Linked DNA regions of Medicago truncatula. Each later gene encodes a partner of the first gene's protein in a complex. Links are inferred from orthologs where the notes say so. Each region holds a gene or a part of one and is shown in the gene's direction. Other genes may lie near its edges. The genes, in order: F-box protein MAX2 and strigolactone esterase RMS3.

Evidence for each region.
Region 2: the proteins of F-box protein MAX2 (region 1) and strigolactone esterase RMS3 are in contact, whole or in part, in a cryo-EM structure (PDB 8IF6), measured with the Oryza sativa proteins. The link is inferred for Medicago truncatula from reciprocal best matches to the Arabidopsis thaliana genes MAX2 and AT3G03990. Residues at the interface, in NP_001411525.1 of Oryza sativa: Gly109, Gly110, Ser113, Ser115, Ser116, Ser118, Tyr596, Ala597, Leu598, Thr599, Pro601, Asp634, Asp636, Val637, His666, His668, Leu696, Met697, Thr699, Arg702; in NP_001404251.1 of Oryza sativa: Asn61, Arg63, Gly66, Ser67, Asp81, Ser83, Leu89, Arg97, Gly107, Ser108, Pro111, Ala135, Arg137, Pro211, Asp217, Pro219, Ala220, Val222, Gln223, Ser226, Arg227, Asn231.

The regions. Positions count from the first base shown.
Region 1 is NC_053045.1:38,924,159-38,935,457, forward strand, and holds F-box protein MAX2, read left to right. Parts: upstream 1-7,049; 5' UTR 7,050-7,276; coding exon 7,277-9,412; 3' UTR 9,413-9,670; downstream 9,671-11,299. Other genes in the region: serine/threonine-protein kinase EDR1, read right to left, coding at 10,582-10,664, 10,955-11,027, 11,154-11,299. UniProt on the Arabidopsis thaliana protein: Component of SCF(ASK-cullin-F-box) E3 ubiquitin ligase complexes, which may mediate the ubiquitination and subsequent proteasomal degradation of target proteins. Promotes the senescence. Is necessary for responses to strigolactones and karrikins.
Region 2 is NC_053042.1:5,249,120-5,258,806, forward strand, and holds strigolactone esterase RMS3, read left to right. Parts: upstream 1-6,303; 5' UTR 6,304-6,388; coding exon 6,389-6,762; intron 6,763-6,851; coding exon 6,852-7,284; 3' UTR 7,285-7,625; downstream 7,626-9,687. UniProt on the Arabidopsis thaliana protein: Involved in strigolactone signaling pathway. Does not move long distances acropetally in the plant to regulate shoot branching and is rapidly degraded in the presence of strigolactones.

The DNA.
Region 1 (11,299 bases):
ATATAATTTTTTTTTTTTGAAGGAATACAATATATGTAACCAAAAAAGAAGAAGGAATACAATGTATAATATTTTCGCACTAGATTTTTAATATATAAGTGTATGAATGCATCCTTCAAAAAAAAAAAGTGTATAAATGCAGTCATTTACACTGAGAAAAGAAATTAAAGTGGAAAAGTACGTGGAATGCAGACCAAACCCACGTAAGAAAGCTATGGCGCAAAAACTAATGATGACTTCTCACTTGGGCTTCCTATATCGTGGCAAAATTTGGATCAATTGATTAAAATTAGAAAAATAATCTTTTAAAAAAAATTAGAAAATTAAGTCTCTTCTTAGTGGATCATTATTAAGAACTATTAGATTGATCAAACTCACACATTTTATTATACTCTCTATATTAGATCACAAATCTCCTTTTTTCTCCAAGTTCTGAACCACCGAAAAAAAACCTTTTTGAAGAAATATCTTTCTTTCGATGAGAAAATGGGGCGTGCAGATTTGATATTATGTTAAGAGGAGAGTCACACTTTGGTTACTTTAAAAAAATCACTTAAAATAATATTAGTTTATTTGCACACTCCGTTTTGCGAAATTTGCTTATAAAGAGAATGGTCGAGGAAAGTTTTATTTTAGATTCTATTTGTGATAGAAGATCGTTTTGCCTAACAATCAAGATGATTGAGAAATGTAATGTGAAGTGATGTATATCATAATGGATGAGATTACCGATTTCTCTTCAACCTTTCCCTCTTGCAATTTAAGCAAAATAGATTCAAACATTTGCTTCATGTGGGGAATTTTAGATTTGGTATGAAATGAAACATTTGGACCTTTTTTGACTTGCATCGTTGAAGCTTTTTAAATAACTAAATGCACTTTTCTACTCAAAGTCTCTCTCTTTCCACCATGACAAAGCATACATGTATATGCCCTGTTTTATTATTTCAATGATTTCCTCCATGTGGAGAAGAAGCATAAATCGGAAATTACAAAGAAAATACAAATATTTAAAAGAAAAAACTACTGATTGAGGGAAGTTTTAAGAAATACAAAATTCTTTTTTATGAACATATTTAATTCTAACAGAACCATCAATTAAATTTGACAGTGAATAAAGTTCTTTTGAAAATCAATATATAATGTTCTTTTGAAAAATGTGAAATTCACTTTTTTAAATTTTAAAAATGGATTAAATAAGTTTTTGATCATTATAAATATAATAACAAGAATTTTTTTAGTCATTGTAAAAAAATGGTATGTTTGCGTTCCTATGAAAAATTTCAACACACAATTTTAGTCTTCATTAAATTTAAATTTGTTTAATTGCTCTTAAATTTTTGAATAATTTTTTTCAAACATGTTTAAAAATTGTTTCTTCACGAAAAATGATTTCTAGATCCTGACTTTCATTACTTTTATCTTGAATTTTTTTTGTTTATAAAAATTCATATTTAATGCATTTCATGTTTAAAAAATCTAATATTTTATAAATTGGAACTCGCTCATATAGCAAAGGAAGAAAATATCTTTAACCTCTAATTTAATATTAATTACTTCGTCCATAATCATAATATTGTTTTTGCAATTTTGCTTGTCCCTAAATATAAAAAAAATTTCGGGCTTCAGCCCTCTTTGTTATAAAAATATATATAATTTTTCACATTATTAGATATATTTATTACATTTTTTATAGTATATCTTTTTTTTATGATAGAAGAAAATTATAAAAGATGATGTTTGTTTCAAGTTATATTTGGAGATTCCTGAGAATATGATAGTGGAAAGAAATATTCCTATGTTTGTTTTTAATTTTTATAATTATTCCTTCCTGGGAATAGAAGTTTCTTGAAAATGTTGTCTTGTTCCTAAGAAAATTGGGAGGAATAAAGTTTTCATGAAGCTGGGAATAAAATCATTAATTACTATCCAGAACTATCGCTTTATCAGTCATTCCCATGAATACTTTAAATACTAACCAAACACATTTTCTCAGTAAACCTGAAAATACAGTTCTCATCCTTATATTCACAAGAAAATTATTCCCATGATTATATTTTGTAAACTTGAAACAAAGACCCCCTAAGGAACTAACCTAGGGACTCGACATCTCACTCAATCAAAACGAAGCTTAAGAGCCAAAGAAGGACAAAAGATTGAAGAGGTCCTCCATTAGAAAGAACCACGGTGACCCAAGTTAGCAAGAAAATCAACGCAAGAGTTAGCTCCCTATAAATATGCTTCAATGAGACCTTTCAATCCATAAGATAGACAAGAAAAAGAATGTCGAATATATGGATTTGAAGAGCCGCGGTGTGAGATGAAGTGAGTTGAACAATTTGTATAAAGACCCAAGAATCACATTCCACAAGAAGGGAAATAATACCCTGATCCCAAAAGGTTTTAAGACCATATTAAAGAGACCTCAAAGCTCAACATAAATAGCGGTGGAGGTTTTTTTTTTTTTTTGGGTTACAAAATTTTAGGGTGAGGGGATGGTGCCCCAGTCTAAGGTAGGGAAGACCTTCGAGCTCAAAGAGCACTTACAAAGGTATTTACATTTACCTCCCTTCAAAGGCACTAGTGAGGCTCGAACCCGGATTCTCTCGGATTCAAGACCTGTCATTTTATAGGAGTGGAGGTTTTAATATTACAACACAAGATTCTTATTATGGGATTTTTAAATTGTGAGATTTTTAAATTTGTGATATTTGTTTTCTCAATTTAAATTGATAGATATATTTTTTTTCTCAACAAGAAAAAGTTGTGAGATTGTTTTCTCAAAAAAATCGACTGAGATCTCATTTTCTGAATTTTAAAAAAATATTTAATAAGTATTTTTTGTCAATTTAAATTGATAGTAAACATCTTATGGAATAAGTTCATAAAAAGTAAACTCGAAGATTCATTCTTTCAAAGTATAAAATTAACTCTATAACACTTTGAGAGAAGGCAACAGAAGTGTTGATTGGCTTGCTAACTTCAGCCTTACCATGGATTCATGGAATTTTACTATTTTGGAGACCCCTCCTAGTGAGCTCAATAGTCTCCTCTTTGATGACATCTCTGGTGCTTGTATGCCTAGAAATGTTCGTGTAATTGTTTAATTTTCTCTTTTGGGCTTCGGCCCTCTCTTGTACCAAAAAAAAAAATTAACTCTATAACTAATACTTATGTGATCTTAACTTCTAAATTTTACTTTAGAATTAATAAATCATATATGTTGAAAAATGGATTCTAATTTTTTTGCCTGCCCCCGACACCGACACTAATCCGACGTGAATTCATTGTTAGCGTCAGTTTTTGCCTGGTTAAAGTGGGTTTTTGGCCGACTTTAAACACTGTTTTCTTGTAGGGCCAGGGGTGGCAAATAAAGTTGCTTCCAATCCTTAATCCACCCCACCCATATATCAACGTTAACCAAGCTATTACCTTGTTATATAATAAATTCATTCAACAACCAACACCAACCATATATTTGGTTACAAACTGCTACATTCAAAACTAGACAAAACAACTCGATGGTATGTTTCCATCAACGATGCTTAATTCAGCCGCAAATTTTTATTTTTTTTTAGGAAACCACAAACTTATAATTTACAAAAACTAAATATTCACATACTTAATTTTATATATAACTTAAGACATGTCCCTAAATTCCATATGATGCTATTCAAAAAGACTAGTTTTGTTCTTAAATATGCTTTGGTGACATAAAATTATATTATTGAGGGGTGGATGCTAACTTGTATAAGACCATGAACCTTTGTGATGCAATGATTGTTGTTAATGAGTCTCACATCAAATAAAATATGACTTAAATATATGTTTATAAGTAGGAGCAATCTTCATCCAACAAACAAAAAGGAACAGTGATGAAGTAGAAGGATTTTGCAGTTTCAACTAAATATCTGAATGAACTAGAGCAAAAAATGACGCAACATTTTTAGGCAATTGAAAAGGAACATTGTGATGAAGTAAAAGGGTTCTTGCGGTTTCAACTAAATTTGAATGAACTAGAGCAAAAAAGGATGCGACACTTTTAGGCAATCGATGATCCACTTATGAAATCATATTATGTATTTTCAACCAAAAATGAAATCTTATTTCTATTTTATAACTTTTAATTGATTCATTTGCATTTTTATTTCCATGGTAATAGTAATTGATAATTTTTTATTACTTCTATAGTTCTAATTCAACAACTATTAAATCGTGTTCTTAAGGGTGGTTCAAAATCCAAGTCAAAGAATTCACGTTTGAATTTCATCGAAAATGGAGATATCCTTTTATGTGTGTGATCATTGGCTTCAGGTTTTTTTTTTTAAGAGGCTACAATGAAATATATTACCACATCAAAAGGTCCTCCCTAACATAAGATATGCCAAGGAAAAGACACCAAAGTCAAAACAAATATTTACAAGGGAAAACCAAAACAGTGACTAAAGAAAGCAAATAACTATTAGCCTATGCCAAAAATAGTGAAATGACTAAGCCACCAGCCATGATAGTTGAAGGGAAGAGAAGGAAATTTCGCCTTCAGCCACATGAAAGTCAGCGACTTAATTTTATCAACCACCTGCATAATTGAGCACTCTTTGCCATTAAAGAGCATGTTATTTCTTTCTTTCCAAATTTTCCACGTAGTTGCATACCAAAGAACCTGTAAAATTGATCGTCGTGCCTTTGTGACACCGCCATCAACAGTGAAGGGAATTACCGTCGACAAACCCAACCACCTGGAGATATAGTGCCAAATCGAACCAAATATATTACAATGTAAAAATAAATGTGCTGAAGTCTCTTCGGACCCACAGCCAGCAACACACATCCAGGAATCATTAGGAATCACTCCACAACGAAGAAGGTTATCCTTAGTTGGCAACCTATCACGAAACATACGCCAAGCAAACAAAACGACCTTCAAAGGGACATCTTTATTCCAAAGAGAGGACACCGCCACCATAGAAACAAACGGAGGTTGAAAAGTGAGCAAATTATAAGCACTACGGACGAAATAGACATGAGATGTTTCCAAATTCCATAGCCACCTATCAACTTTATCAACCTGCAAAGTCACACCGTGAAATAATAATTTAAATTCCTCCACCAACTCTTCTTCCCACGCAAACAGCCCCCCTCCTCCAACTTCACGCTTGCCCCTCATCCCCCATCCCCCATCCTAACTCACACATCATCAATAATAACTTATGTACTCTTTTGAGGATTTTGTTTTGTATGGGATGGTATTTGTTTGTTTTTTCTTGAGGTTTGATTTTGATTGTATATTTAGTGAGTTGTAATTGTTTTATTCATGTTAAAGAGTCGTTGGATGAGAGATAACATGAACAATTGTTTATAAGTGAAAGCGAATTTTACCTCACAAATTGATTTTAGGAGAATGAATTATCTCTAGTATAAAAATCTAAGGTGATATTAAAACCTTTTCCAAGATCTGTCTTGATCGAACCACCTACCATTTATATCTATGCATCAAGTCTAATAGTATTGGATGCGATAGGCTGTGTTAAATACTATCATATTTGATGAAAAATGACATAAACAAGTGTTTCTAAATATGGATAACCATCATCTCACAAATCAGTTTTGTACTATGGGCTAGAGCAAATATAAAAACTTAAGAATCCATGAATGATACACTTTGTATCTTGGATAATAAGTATTTATTAGAGAAATGATATTTGTACAACCACTTTATGACAACTTTTTCTTTCATACTCACATTATCCTCTTATTTTCTCTCTTTCTTTTTCTCTCCATAGTTTTTAACCAATAAAAAGAGAGAAAAAAAATTATCACAAAAAATTGTATGAAATAGTTGTTCAAATATCACTACTCTATTTATTAATATCATTTGTTGGTCTTTTGTGAAAGAGAGATAAATTTTAGAAATAAAAAAAGAAAAAACTTATATAGTATTGAATCTCATGTGTCAATGTAAACTTTGTTATTTAACGTGGATTGATTGGACTAAATTAGATTGGAAGCTCGAAAGGAAGGTTAACGTTGGGTCCCTCGTCGGTCACTCACTGACTCACATATTATATTATTATACATATACTCCATTATTATTATTTCAACGCCAGTTTTAAAAATATCATCAATATCCAATAGAGATATTAACGCCAAGTGTATGTTGCACTATTGTGTTTTGTGTTCCTATCCAAATCCAATCAAAATGGAAAAGACAGAGCTTGACAAAGTAAGTAGATAGAAAGAAAGAAAAAATGAACAAGATACGAAACAAGAAAAGAAGTAAACAAAATTCAATCCAACAATGTGACTCTGAGTGATTTAACCCTCTTTCTTTATCTCATAAGGGATTAACTGGGTCCTGTTTGTGGTCCCCCAATTGTTTGTCCCTATTCTTTTTTCCCTTATCTTAAATCTTAATAATAATGTACATGCAGATTTCATTTTGTACCATTACCCCATTTCCCACTGCTGGCTTGTTGCCTTTTACAGAAATCCAAACCATCCCTCATTTTCAAACCATCTCTCACACACACAATTTTGGATCTTAGTTACTCTTAATCGATGTTTGATATCATCGTGGATATGTCAAACTGTGATTTTACAAAAGTTATCGGTGTAATATCAAACACAAACTTAATGGTGAAAAAATCATCATGACTTTAATGTATGATAAGAAAAAATAAACAAAAATGATAAATAAGATGAGGAAAAGACGTACATCTTTTAAAGATAGCGGATCCAGATCACACGATTTTAAAATAAGAGAATATTAAAAAATGTCTTGTAAATATTGTTTAAGCAATCAAAATATATAAATTTCCTTAAAAATTTATACAATTGTTATTTAATAAAAAAAAATTATATTTTTAAGATAAAATTTCTATTTATAAATTTTTTAACAAATACTCAAAGAGACATGGTTAGTAAAACCCTTTAAAATTTAGTGAGCTACATACATCGTATTCACGTGGCTATGCATCACCCAACCAACAAAGTGTTTTCAATCTTATGACTAATAATAGCCATACCATACCCATCAATACCCATTATCAATCAAGCATATGATATCATCCTCTACCATACACAATACAATAAAATAAAATAAAAATGTAATAAAAACATTACTCTTTATAACATCTCAGAAACTGCCACAAATATCACTCACTAGATTTCATTGATTGATACTCAATACCCCAATCACCTTACCTCTATAAATTTCCTTCATACATATTCCTAAAAAGAAGAAAGTAGTTATTTTCGTGAGAATTTCTTACCGGTGATGGTAGGAAACAACTCAGCAACCACCGTCAGCCACCTACCGGAGGAGATTTTATCGAAAGTCTTCACCGGAATAACTGACACACGAACTCGAAACTCACTCTCCTTAGTATGTCATAGCTTCTTCAAGTTAGAGAGAAAAACGCGATTATCCCTCACGCTCCGAGGAAACGCGCGTGACTTATACAGAATTCCAACTTCCTTCACGAACGTTACTCATCTCGATGTATCACTTCTCTCGCCGTGGGGTCACGCGCTGTTCTGTTCACCTGCTGGTAATGATTCTCCGCTTCTAGCTCAACGGTTACGAAATACTTTCCCGCGCGTGACTTCACTCACTGTCTACGTGCGTGACCCGCACACGCTTCACCTTCTTCTCTTCAACCACTGGCCGGAGCTTCGTGATGTTCGGCTTGTTCGGTGGCATCAACGGCCGCAGGGGTTGCAACCGGGGTCAGACTTCGACGCCTTGTTCTCACGGTGCCGATCGATTACTTCACTTGATCTTTCATCGTTCTATCACTGGCCGGAGGATCTTCCACCGGTTTTGGCGGAGAATACTACCACAGCCGCCTCACTCCGTCGTTTGAATCTCTTAACGACGTCGTTCACGGAGGGGTTCAAGTCTAACCAAATCGAATCCATCACTTCATCTTGCCCTAATCTGGAACACTTTCTTGTTGCATGCACTTTTGATCCGAGATACATCGGTTTTGTCGGTGACGAAACTTTATTGGCCGTCGCTTCTAATTGTCCTAAGCTGAAACTTCTTCACATGGCTGATACGTCGTCGTTTTCGAATCGGAGAGAGGAAGAAGGTGTAGAGGATGCTAGGGTGAGTCGTGCCACGCTTGTAGCGTTGTTCACTGGGTTGCCTCTTCTGGAAGAATTGGTGCTAGATGTTTGTAAAAATGTCACCGAGACTAGTTTTGCTTTGGAGATGTTGAGTTCTAAATGTCCTAATTTGAAGGTTGTGAAGTTGGGTCAGTTTCAGGGGATTTGTTTGGCAATTGGGTCACGGCTTGACGGAATTGCGCTTTGCCATGGGCTTCAATCGTTGTCTGTTAACACGTGTGGTGATCTTGATGATATGGGGTTGATTGAGATTGGGAGAGGGTGTTCACGGTTGGTGAGATTTGAGATTCAGGGTTGTAAGCTTGTTACTGAAAAAGGGTTGAGGACTATGGCGTGTTTGCTTCGAAGGACTTTGATTGATGTTAAGGTTGCTTCATGTGTCAACCTGGATGCGGCTGCTACTCTTAGAGCTTTGGAGCCTATTCGGGACCGGATTGAGCGGCTTCACTTGGATTGTATATGGAAAGAAAGTGATAACTTCGGACAAGGTTTGTTCAACTTTGATCTGAACACTTTGGATGAACTGAACGGTTCAGAGTTAATGGATTGCTTTGGAGGTGAGGAATGTGGAGAAGACACAAGCATGAGGAAGAGGCAAAGGTGTGAGTATGGATTGGAGGCTGATGATTTGTTTGTGCAAAGCAATGGCAATGGTAACGGCAATGGATACTATGGCTATAGCTGGGATAGGTTGGAGTATCTTTCTCTTTGGATAAAGGTTGGTGAACTTTTGACTCAGTTGCCAGTAGCAGGGTTGGAGGATTGCCCCAATCTAGAAGAGATTCGTATAAAAGTCGAAGGAGATTGCAGAGGACAGCCCAAACCGGCAGTGCGCGAATTTGGTTTGAGCATTCTAGCTTGTTATCCTCAGTTGTCAAAGATGCAGCTGGATTGTGGCGATACAAAAGGTTATGTATACACAGCGCCTTCCGGCCAATTGGATTTGAGTTGGTGGGAGAGGTTCTTCCTTAATGGGATCGGTAGCTTGAGTCTAAATGAACTTCATTACTGGCCACCACAAGATGAGGATGTGAACCAGAGGAGTCTGTCTCTTCCAGCTGCTGGCCTGTTGCAAGAATGCTATACTTTGAGGAAGCTTTTCATTCATGGAACAACTCATGAACACTTCATGAACTACTTCCTCAAAATACCAAATCTGAGAGATGTTCAGCTGAGAGAGGATTACTATCCAGCACCAGAGAATGACATGAGTACAGAGATGAGGGTAGGATCATGCATTCGCTTTGAAGATGCGTTGAATAGGCGTCAAATATGTGACTGATCAAGTGTAATGTTTGCTAGGATGCAATAAACAAGAGAAAAAAGAGGATAGTTCTTAAGGCTATAGGGCTTGTTAATTGTTATTGCCAATTATTAACATCAATTACGGCTTTGGTAGATTATTTGTCACTTTCCTCTTTTGACACCGTAAAATCGTGGGACTCCAGTTGGATTTTTGTTTGAGTCTCAAATGTAACCATTCTACCCTCGGCTATTTTGTTATTTTCGTGGAATAAATATGCGCGAGAGATTACATGCATCTTCTCTCACAAGAACTTAAATTATCAAGGTAACCAAAAAAAAAAAAAAGAACTTAAATTATAAGGTAAAAAAAGTTGAAATTATTATGAGAAACTTTTTTTGACAAGTAGATTATTATGAGAAACTTATATACGATTTGTTTTTTGAGTCTTCTAGCAAGAGCTCTTTGTATTTAAACTTATATCTTAGGTTAGAATCTGATGCATAGCTATGCATGTGAAAATACAGAATTTTTTTAAAACCCAAGGTAGGTCCGTTTAGTGTAAAAAACAACAAAAAATTACTGTCTGAATTTCTATCACAGTTGATTAAATTATAATATGTACCCCAACATATTTTGGAATTCTTACTGATAAAATGGATATATGTGTTTAGTTCCATACATGTACCAGCACCGAGCATCACTATTTTAGAGAGCCGGATCCTCTCCTTCACTCTCTCCATCCTCTCTATCTCTCTTCTTTTATCGCTTTTTTAGCATTCAATTCTCTATTCTCTCTCATCCCTCCTGTGTAATGTGAAGGAAAGGATCCGAACACCTATTTTAGGTACAACCGAGCTTCATAGGTTAAAATTAAGCATGTGTTTGAAAGAATGGAAGCCAGTAGGATTCGACTGTTCAGTATATTGAATATTCTGTCATGAATTACTTCTTTCAAAATTTTCAACCATTAAATGAAAGGTCAACCATATTTTGTGTGATTAAAGAGATGGATAAAAAAAAGCCATTGCTTCTTTTCCTTCTCTTTACATTGCTTCACATAAGAGACGATTCAAGAAATGCACGAATGCACGCACATTTTAACATGTTTTCAGGACATATAATTCATATAAGTTTACAACATCAGCCGAAAATACAATGTGATAACTCAACCCAAAGTTCACTATGTACAAAAGGTAATTGCTGCATCAAGACATCGAGTACTCAATATCCACCAAGCGAGATAGGATCTCCTCACAACTTGGTCGCTCATTCGGTTCTGCCCAACACTCTGCACATGAAAAATCAAGTAACCAGTTAAACTAGATGGGGTCTGAATTATAACATGCTTAATGCTTTTTTTAAGGGTCTAAAGTAGTAACTTTTTATGAAAAGTTGTGTATTCAACTCAACGCCTTGGAAATTGAACTATTTGACTTTTTTAATAAATCATTTCTTAATTTGGAATGCTTAAAGAGTGCCCCAGGGGCACTCCTTAACAAGACCCAAAAAAAAAAAAATATATAATTATTTTTTAAAACAAAAGGGTATTGATTGAAGTTATGAATTAGTTGCAGATACCTGAAATCAGTCTGCCTAGCGGGCCTTCAGGAATCTCCAATCTGGAACCCTCATTAGCAACAGTATAAACCACCTAATCAGCAGAGAATAAAGATTAGCCAACATAAACTGTTATTTTGATTCTCCAGAATTCAACAAATATGTTTCCAATATAGAACTGTGACAGCAATAGAAATCGTAACAAATCTAACAAACATACCCTCTCTGGAGGTACGCCTTCCCATGGCCTACTCAAGTTGCAGAGCTCCCACATTATCACACCTAGGCTAAAGATATCACATTTTTCAGTGAACGGCTCATTTCGAATCAGTTCAGGAGCCATCCATTCTGGTGTTCCAGCTGAAG
Region 2 (9,687 bases), on another chromosome or scaffold:
TAGGGCGGCCGATCGCTGAGGCCATAGCTAAAAGGAAGCTTTCGTCGTAGTAAACAATGTTCAAACCTGGAAAACGAACCCAAACCACAATGCGATCTACCTTTGCATCCGGAGAGGCGAATTTTGGGGACCGTGTGAAACTGTGAGACAGTGATAAAAAATCAACCAAGGACCACCAGTAATGACTTTTTCCTTATCAGCTGCTTGATCAAATTTCACCATATAGAAACCGTTGTTGTTATCCATGATATCAAACCCTCCTTGGAGTCTCCAAATTTTTTGAAGTCGGTCTCTCATGGTGTTGTAGCCGAGATTCTTTCCCAATAGCTTGACAACTATTGCATCTTTCCATGGTGTGCAGAGTTCTTGAAAGACTTTTGGTTCCAAGTAAACTTTGTGCAGTAGGCGATTACCATCCCCAAGCTCGATACGTACAAGTTTCTTTTCAATCATGTCCTCTCTTTCACGGATTTGGATTTCTTGGGAGGGTCTTCAAAGTTTATCACGAAATGAAAGCTTAGGGGTTGAAGGCTTATGGAGGTCGGGTGGTTTTTTGGTGGTTTGCAGGTTGAGATCACTTTGAGCGGAGAAGACAAACTGAGAGCTCATTGCACTCATTTCTTTTCTCTTCAGAATTTAATACATATGGAACATACTCATGCAAATGTATGAAACATCCTTTTATGTATATTGTAAAATATATTACAGCTATTTCATAATTTACTTGTTTTTATATCTATCTACTTTAAACTTAAAAAAATAGATAACTAATAAATATACAATAACAACCTCGAGCAATTATTGTTGCTTTCCAAACATCATTAGACATCTTATAATTTGATTTACAACAACAATGGCCTTTATTATTATTTATTATTTATTTTATCAATGCAAGAAAAACAAACACAAGTCTTTCCCTTCGCTCTCTTCTCTCTCATTTCTCCATCTCCACAGATCACTAACACCACCACTCACCACCACCGCCACCCCTATTCTTCGCGCCTCCAACCCTCTGTCATCTTCTCACCTTTCTCCGACCCTAACACCACTAGAATCGCCACCTCTTCTCTTCAAAGTTGCAACCACACCGCCGCCTCTTCTTCCTCATAACCACCGCCGCCTGTTTTCAAGCTGTTCAGATCCAGAAATGTCACATCGCCGGTGATCTTCTTTTCTCCCGCACTGTATCAGTTTTTTTGGTTCAGATCTGACGTTTTCTAGGGAGACGGTAAATCCGGCGGCCATAAGGCGGAGGGAGGCAGTGGGTTGCTCGGAGAAGAGACAAATCATATGTTCATCAATATACAAACAGTTGCAACTACATGATCCATTACTTCCTTGTATAGTCTCAAATTTCTTTTTGGTTTTTGAATTTGGTATTGTTTGTTTTAATGGTATGAGTCGATTACAAAGAAAGCTAATAAACCTCATTAATGCTCAATTGCAGTAACTTAAAGCAATTAACAGAAAGAGGGGTTTGAGGAGAGAAGAGGTCTGAAATTTAAAAAAAAAAAAAAATGTCACATAAGGGTGGTAAAGGAGTGGTATGCCACCTATGAGTGTTTACCTATCATCACTCTTTCAAAGGCAGGTAGCACCTTTTTGTCAAGCTTCTTGTACCCAAACCCACCATCATTGGTTGCACTTGCAGTGCTGAGAATAAATCACTCAAGAAAAACAGTGAGAGCTTCTTCTTCCATCTTCACATATACTTCTGAGGTATAAATTGTTAGAATCATCAACAAAGTAAAAATTTGTTTCATATCACAAAAAATACATTTAAATCGCTATAGTGAAAGCAAAAAAATACTAAATATTAACCTCTAGATTTTGCACTGTCAAATTCGGATTTCATACTTACTAAAGAGTCAAATCTATTTGACTTTTCAAATGTAACTCACTTAAACCCTAGGGTATAGTTTTTTTTTGTAAGAGAAAAGTAACTTTAGTGACAAAAATAAAGAGCAACATTAATAGAGTTTAGATTTTTGCATTTGTGGGATTTTTTCATCGTTTCTAAGTTTCAGGTAGTGTTTAATTCTTTGTCCACGTACCCAAGAATAATATAGTGGATAATTTGTTATTGCATTTAATTAATGAGGATTAGTTACACGTCTCTCTCATTCTAAACTTTCCATTTAGTCAAGAATAATAGATAGAAGATGGCTAAACACAAAGCATTATCTTTTTAAAGATAGGGAAAAAAGTCAAGGTTTAGAAAACGAAAAAGAAAACATATGAGTCAGCAGAACAATTAAACATGGAAGAAAGTTTGTCCCAATAGAACTTCTTTGTGCCAACACCATATATAGAACATTGGAATACCTACATTGTCTTTCCTTATCGTTGGGGTCACAATATGAATATGCTAGTTAGGGCAAGGGCCCCAATATTCAGAACTTATCTACTTCTTTTTGGATGAGCCTTGTTTGCATTCTCTTATCTTTGATTTCTTTGATGATCTATGGTGCAAAATTATTGGCTTTATGTAGAACTTTGAGGTCCTTGACCTTTTTTTTGGTTAAGGATCAGATTTATCGACGTCTCTAGGACACTGGTTAAGGAAGATAAAACAATAAAGTTTTAAGTTAAAAATAATATTTTTTAAACTTTTGACGAGTTGACTGCGCAACTTCCAATTAAAACTACTATATTTACTTCCTTAACTAGTGCCCCAAGGCACCGATTAACATTTCCCTTTTGTTAATATAAACATTATGGAAAATGTTAACTTGTACCCTTGTGACACATGTTAAGAATTCTACTAATAGAAATTATGTATTGGAAATTGTGTTAATTTATTATTCAAAATGTTTAATATTTATTTTTTTTTCATTAAATTCTTACCATTTATGAAATGAAATTAATGTTTAACATGTGCCCTAAGAGCACAAGTTAATATGACCCATATATTTTAAACATAAATCACTTTAATTAAATTCAACCAACTTTTAGCCAAAATAAATTTTAAATAATCAACTCATTTAAATTTAATTTTTATCACCACATATCAATTGTACACTTAGGCGCTATATATAAAATTAGACCCGTATAGATTTTTCTTCGTAAAGTTAATTAGTTTATCCACCTGGTCGGAAGTATATTTATATCCACTAATCTGAATCCTGTTCTGTGGTCCAATATCTCGTTATCTATCTATTTTAATTTAATAATTATTTCTTGATCAAACTTCATATATAATTGGGACTTTGTATACTATTTTGCGTCATAGGTAAAGCTTAAAAAAACTTGTGCTTGCTAAAAAAAAAAAAGCATATAATAAATTGTTTTTTTAAGAAACAATATGATAATTGTACTTTTTTGAGGTAATAAGCTAATTATATTGTTATTCTTCAAAAATAAAAAGTTAATTGTTGTACGTGACTTTCACATTAGGAACTTTTTTTGACAATCAACTTTCACATTAGGATTTAGTATCAATATATATGTTTATCGAATAAAAGGAAAGCATCTTTAATAAATAAAAAAATAGAAGAAGAAAAGGAAAGCATCATGTGATGCATGCATATAATAAATTTTCATAAATTAGCATTGAAGATAAGTGAAGTTCTTTTATATATGCATTTAACTAGTGGCTTCGAGTAAAAGCATATTGCTAGACACTAGAGATGGTGAAAGCAGCTTGCTACATCTTTGTCAGAGAGAGACAATGAAATTTTACGAATAGACAAAAAAAAAGTGCAGACTTTGTCAATTCCATATTCGTTTTGATTTTCCTGTTTTGTGTGTGAATTTTGTATATTTAATTTTTAATTTTTTAAAGCTAGGTAAATGAAGGGGAAAGAGGTTTATATTTGAAGGCTACTTCCAAATTCCAATGAATCAGATTCCACTATGTTATTACATTACATCTTTCTATTTTTAATCAAACAACAATTCATGCAAAGATTCTATCTCTGTCACGTCTACACCAAACTACAGCAAATGATAGCAATTGTTGGATTATGATGTACTGGTGAAAATTGAAGCTAACTAGCAATGGTACACATGTACTCGTTTTTTTTCCAGTGCCTTGAACTTGGATGAATGTACAACCATACATGTTCATCTACTGTCATTCCTTATTCGTCATCATCAGCGTCACTTTTTGTTTGTGTACCAGTGCTCCAACAATCACGCTCCATTGTGTGACCCGACTATCTCCATTCACACATTTGAGACCCGTGTCGTCGGATCCAGAAATTTTGAACAGTGAAGTATCATATATGAAAATTTGTAGCATTATAGATATAAATATCTTTATATAAATAACTAAACAATTATTTAATCAATCATCTCTCATTTGATTTCACATTTGATTCTTGATAATATTTATAAAGTCTTGTTAACAAGTGCATTAAGGAAATAATTTATAAGTTTAATGTATAATTTTTTCAAAGATCCAATGCGTTGAACACTCAAATCTCAAAAGAAATTTTTTTTTTTTTTTTTGAGCTTCTTAACAAGTGCTTTGAGAGCATCCACAGTGAAAAAAAATACATTTTTTAATATCTAAATTGATCGCATGTGTACACATCACTCATTTATAATTATGCATTGGATTCTACATATTCATGTTATCAAGAATGGATTTGTGATACATACGATGGGATGGAGATTCTCTCGAGAGAATTTTTCACCGGATGAAATCCAGTGTATATCTCCACCATTCAAGGGCTACTTAATGAATTTTGACCAAATTAAGTGGTGAAAAATGTGTGGTTGTGATTCCACTGCACTCTCGAGTCACCGAAGACAATCCGCTTTCCATATGATGATAGATGTAGGCTAAGAGTGAAAGAATTTGTGATAAGTGTGGGTCTTGTGGTTAAAATATCAACTATTGATTAATTATACTACTATTAAAAACAATTCTAAAAATTTTGTGTAGAGACAAACTCAGTTGAGACATCGGCACATCCGGAAACATCAACAATCGTTCAATCAATTAGGTTGAATTCATATTTGATATATTAAATTATGAAATAACAATTTTAATTTACATTCTATAAAAAAAAAAAAAAAACAATTTTAATTTACATTTTTCATAGTTTGATCTTAATCAAATGACAATTGATATTCCGACCACCTGAATATGAAATCCCTTAATTACAGGGAATTCGATTTCATTATCTACCCTAGTTGTTGCGATGCATTCTCTGAATTGGTAATTTCTTTTCACTAACATATGTTAGTTAATATCTTGTTAGTGAGATAGTTGAACCTATTACCTCCTTATAACTTCAACATCTATATTAGTATAACTTTCTTACAATCCCACAAGAAGCTAATTATAGATTTATCATGAGAACTACAATGATCAAGGATCGTAAGTCATCTAACGATGGTTACCGTCCATATTAGTAGCGAGTTTACCATGCACAATTTTTCAAAGAAAATATCTCCCTCGAGTAGGTTCCTCTTAACACAACACACATACAACTTGGCATATCTCAAACAAAATAAACCATAAAAATGACTTACTAAGAAAGGAAATTTGGTTTGTAAGCCGTTGTTTTATTTATTTTTAATGGTATATTATGGCTTTTATTTTGACTGATTAATAATACATCCCTAGGAAAGATTTGGAGAGTAATCATAGCCTCATTGGACCATCGGTTCTAGGTTATAAAATGTAACTCAAGGTGGCCCCGAAATAGTGGATATAAGTGATGGGGTGCGGTAGAGGACGACAACTCGAAGTCTTCAATGAGACGGTGTACTTATAAGCAATTTAACGCTCAAATTTATTAGAAAATTTAGAAGAGTTTATAAACATAAATAGTGTATACCTTGCTTCTTGAGGAAAGAAGCTTGTTATATAGTATCGTTGAGGTAAAATAGCTCGAAAACCCATTGAGGGTGCTATCGTATGTGCGGATCTTGTATGGTCGTAGCCCTAATCTTAACAATACACGGATGTTTTCCCTAATTTAAATCCCTTTTTTGGAGTTATATCATTGTGTGTAATACTAATCTTGACAATTATCAACACAACAATGTTAGTGGATACTCCTAAATTTTTAGCATCAAAATCTTTTTCATTTCTCAAAGAAATAAAAGGGTTCCATTAGTGAGAATTTAAGTGTTGTCAATGATTAATGAACTCGTATTTGGTTGACCAAATCAAACTCTTTAATATATTTTTTTTCGTGATCTTAACTCAATTTCATTACACTTTTCTTATTATGAATCATATTGTCAAAATATTACATCTATTTTTCTCCCACATATATAATCTAGAGTGGTTTAACGAGTGTGTACAGAACATTTATTTTTTCTTATAAATACCACTCAAAACATAGTGAGATAGAAATATTCAGTTTGGCTCGTATCCCAAAACACACAACTCTTATATCCAAATCCAACACATTTCTTTTGTCCAAACATGGGCAGCACTTCCATCCTCGACGCACTGAATGTCCGCGTAGAAGGCTCCGGCGACAAATACATCGTCTTCGCCCACGGCTTCGGCACCGACCAATCAGCATGGCAGCGCGTGCTCCCTTACTTCACCCGCAGCTATAAAGTCATTCTCTATGACCTCGTTTGCGCCGGCAGTGTCAACCCCGATTACTTCGATTACCGCCGCTACACAACTCTTGACGCTTACGTTGATGACCTCCTCAACATCCTTGATTCCCTCCATGTCACTCGCTGTGCTTACGTCGGCCACTCCATCTCCGCCATGATCGGAATGTTAGCTTCCATTCGCCGCCCTGAACTCTTCTCCAAACTCATCCTCATCGGTGCCTCCCCAAGGTTACACAACACTCATAACTAGTTCTAAATACGTTTGTCATATATCCCTCGTATTATGACTATTTATTTATTTATGTTTGTTTATTCAGATTCTTGAACGACGGAGAAAATTACCACGGAGGATTTGAGCAAGGTGAAATTGAGCAAGTTTTTTCAGCAATGGAAGCAAACTATGAAGCCTGGGTTAACGGTTTTGCTCCACTAGCTGTCGGGGCCGATGTTCCTACAGCGGTTCGAGAATTTTCTAGAACACTTTTCAACATGAGACCAGACATATCACTTTTCGTTTCAAGAACGGTCTTCAACAGTGATCTGAGAGGGATTTTAGGATTGGTTAAGGTACCTTGTTGTATCATGCAAACGGCGAGGGACATGTCGGTTCCGGCGACGGTTGCGACTTACATGAAGGAGCATCTTGGTGGGAAGAGTACGGTGCAGTGGCTGGACACGGAGGGGCATCTTCCTCATTTGAGCGCTCCTTCTTACTTGGCTCATCAGTTGGAGATAGCACTTTCACATTAGCGCGTGGGGTTTAAGCTTGTGTTGGGCGCGTGGGTATGGGTTTGGGTTTATAACTATTGGATGCTGACCAAGGACCAAGGTTGTCCTGGTCTAAAGCTCTAGAAGACATGTACTAGAGGTTCGATGTGGACACGTGTCGAATAATGTGTGGGTTTTGGTTCATAGATTTTATGAGATTTTTATGTAGGATAAGAATCTGCACGTGATGTCACGTGATGTGTGCCCATTTTAGGTTCTTTTACTTTTAATTTGCGATATGAGAAAAGGAAACAAAGAAAAAAAGAAAAGAGAAATGCCTTGTTTCTTTTATATAATGGTTTATTATCATGATGATTATTGGTTTTTTTTTTTTTTTTTGACTAAATGATGATGATTAGTAGTTACTAGTTATAAAGGTCTTTTGTTTTCTACTGGTTTATTCTTTGTGTTTCAAAATTTTATCTAGTGATTTTCAATTATTTGATTTGATGCGACCTTATGTACTACGATTGACTTTTGGTAAGTTTTAAGACAATGGCTTATCTGGTCATAATATTTTGCATTTTGGATTTCTTGCTAGAATCCACAATATGAATGGTCCACTTGTTTTATGGTTTTTAGCTTTGTTCAAACTTATGTAAGTACTTTTTTAGACCAAACAAATTTTGATTTATTCAAAAATTAAGGATCACATATCAAAATCTTACATATTCACATCTTGCATATCATCAATCATATTAGTCTATCTAAAAACATATCTTCTATCAACTCTTTTTTAAATTGAAAAAGCTGCATGGGCAAGAGATTGATAAGCTAATAAGGTAAATAATTGGAATTCCTTACAAAAAAATTTGTATAGATTCATTCTCTAAAACACTAGTAATGAATTTCATAGTTTGATATACCTTTAAATGTGTTATGAACCTTCAAATAAAATAATCTTAATTGTTGTACGGGAAGAATATCATTAAAATCAACATAAAGAAATAGTCCATACAAGATTAAGTATACGTGTCAATTTGATTTTCCTCAAATTTATTTTAGGTTTCAATGTGGCACCCTGATCATTATTTCCTATGAATTGCTCTTTTATTTTACAAACAACACATTGACAAGGTCAATTGGTCACGAGTATGGCCGGTAATGAATCGAACCAACTCGAAAATAGTTTGAGATTCGATTCGATAATTGACTCGTTGAACTTGGTTCGTGAACCAAATGAGTCGAACTTGAGTTGAAAATTAAGTTCGTTAAATAAATGAGTCGAACTTGAATTGAGTATGGTTCGACTCGTTTGGTTCATGAACCAGCTCGATATATATAAAATATTATTTTGCATATTGTTATATAATATCTAATTTATTACAAGCTTCTTCTAATAATTATGTACTTTTTTCATAGGAATTATTACTAATTTGATTAATAATCAACGATAATTGTTATGATTGAGGAAAAAAGTTAATATCTTTTGAAGACTTTTAAACAAACATTTGTACACAAATAGTTCCACATCGGGTGTTTTGAAAATATTAGAGAGTAAGAGTGTATATATAAGAGAGGTAGATGATAATGAGTACAATGTAAAACATGGTATGCGCTACAGTAGTAAGTGCTACTGCCTTTCTACCTTCATAGTTTTATTTAATATATATATATATATATTTAAGTCAAAGACATGTATTTTTGACAAAAAAAAATATTTGAAGAAAAAAAGCTTTTGAAGTATACAAATCGAGTAGACGAGTTGAACCTAACGAGCCGAACCGAGTTGTTCGCGAACTTTAAATGAGTCGAACTTGAGGTAAAAAAAAAGGTTCGTTTCAAACTCGAGTCGAGTTTCGAGCCGAACCAATTCTTATGGAGTCGAATCGAGCTCAGACAGGTTCGACTCGACTCGACTCATTTCCAGCCCTAGTCACGAGCATCATCAAAATTAGCTATGTTGTGTCTAACTAATGATTTCACGACTAAGTTTGCTTTCAAGGGGATCAAATTGAATCCAAAAATTTATATAGAATCAAATTGAGTATTGAAACTATTAGATACTAAGCCTTAACATGGTTACTTGCTATACAAGTCATCTGTGTTTTATACATTAGATTGGACTTAACTGATAAACTAACTATAGTTACAATTAGTCATGATTGGTTAGGATAGTTACATTTAGTTAGAGACTTTTCCTTCACACATTGTGTATATATACTTGCAATCCTTCCCTTTGTAATCATTCAATACAATGTTGATTCACTTTCTCTATATTGTAATATTCTCTATATGGCAGCGAACATTGTTCTTCCGCATTCATCATAATTTTCCTTTTCTCTTCTTTTTCTTTCTTTTTTCATGGATTATCCTACAAGTTCTTGTTCTACCACTTCGTTTTTCCAAAAATATGTTTTCAACTGCAATTTTATATGGAAAAAA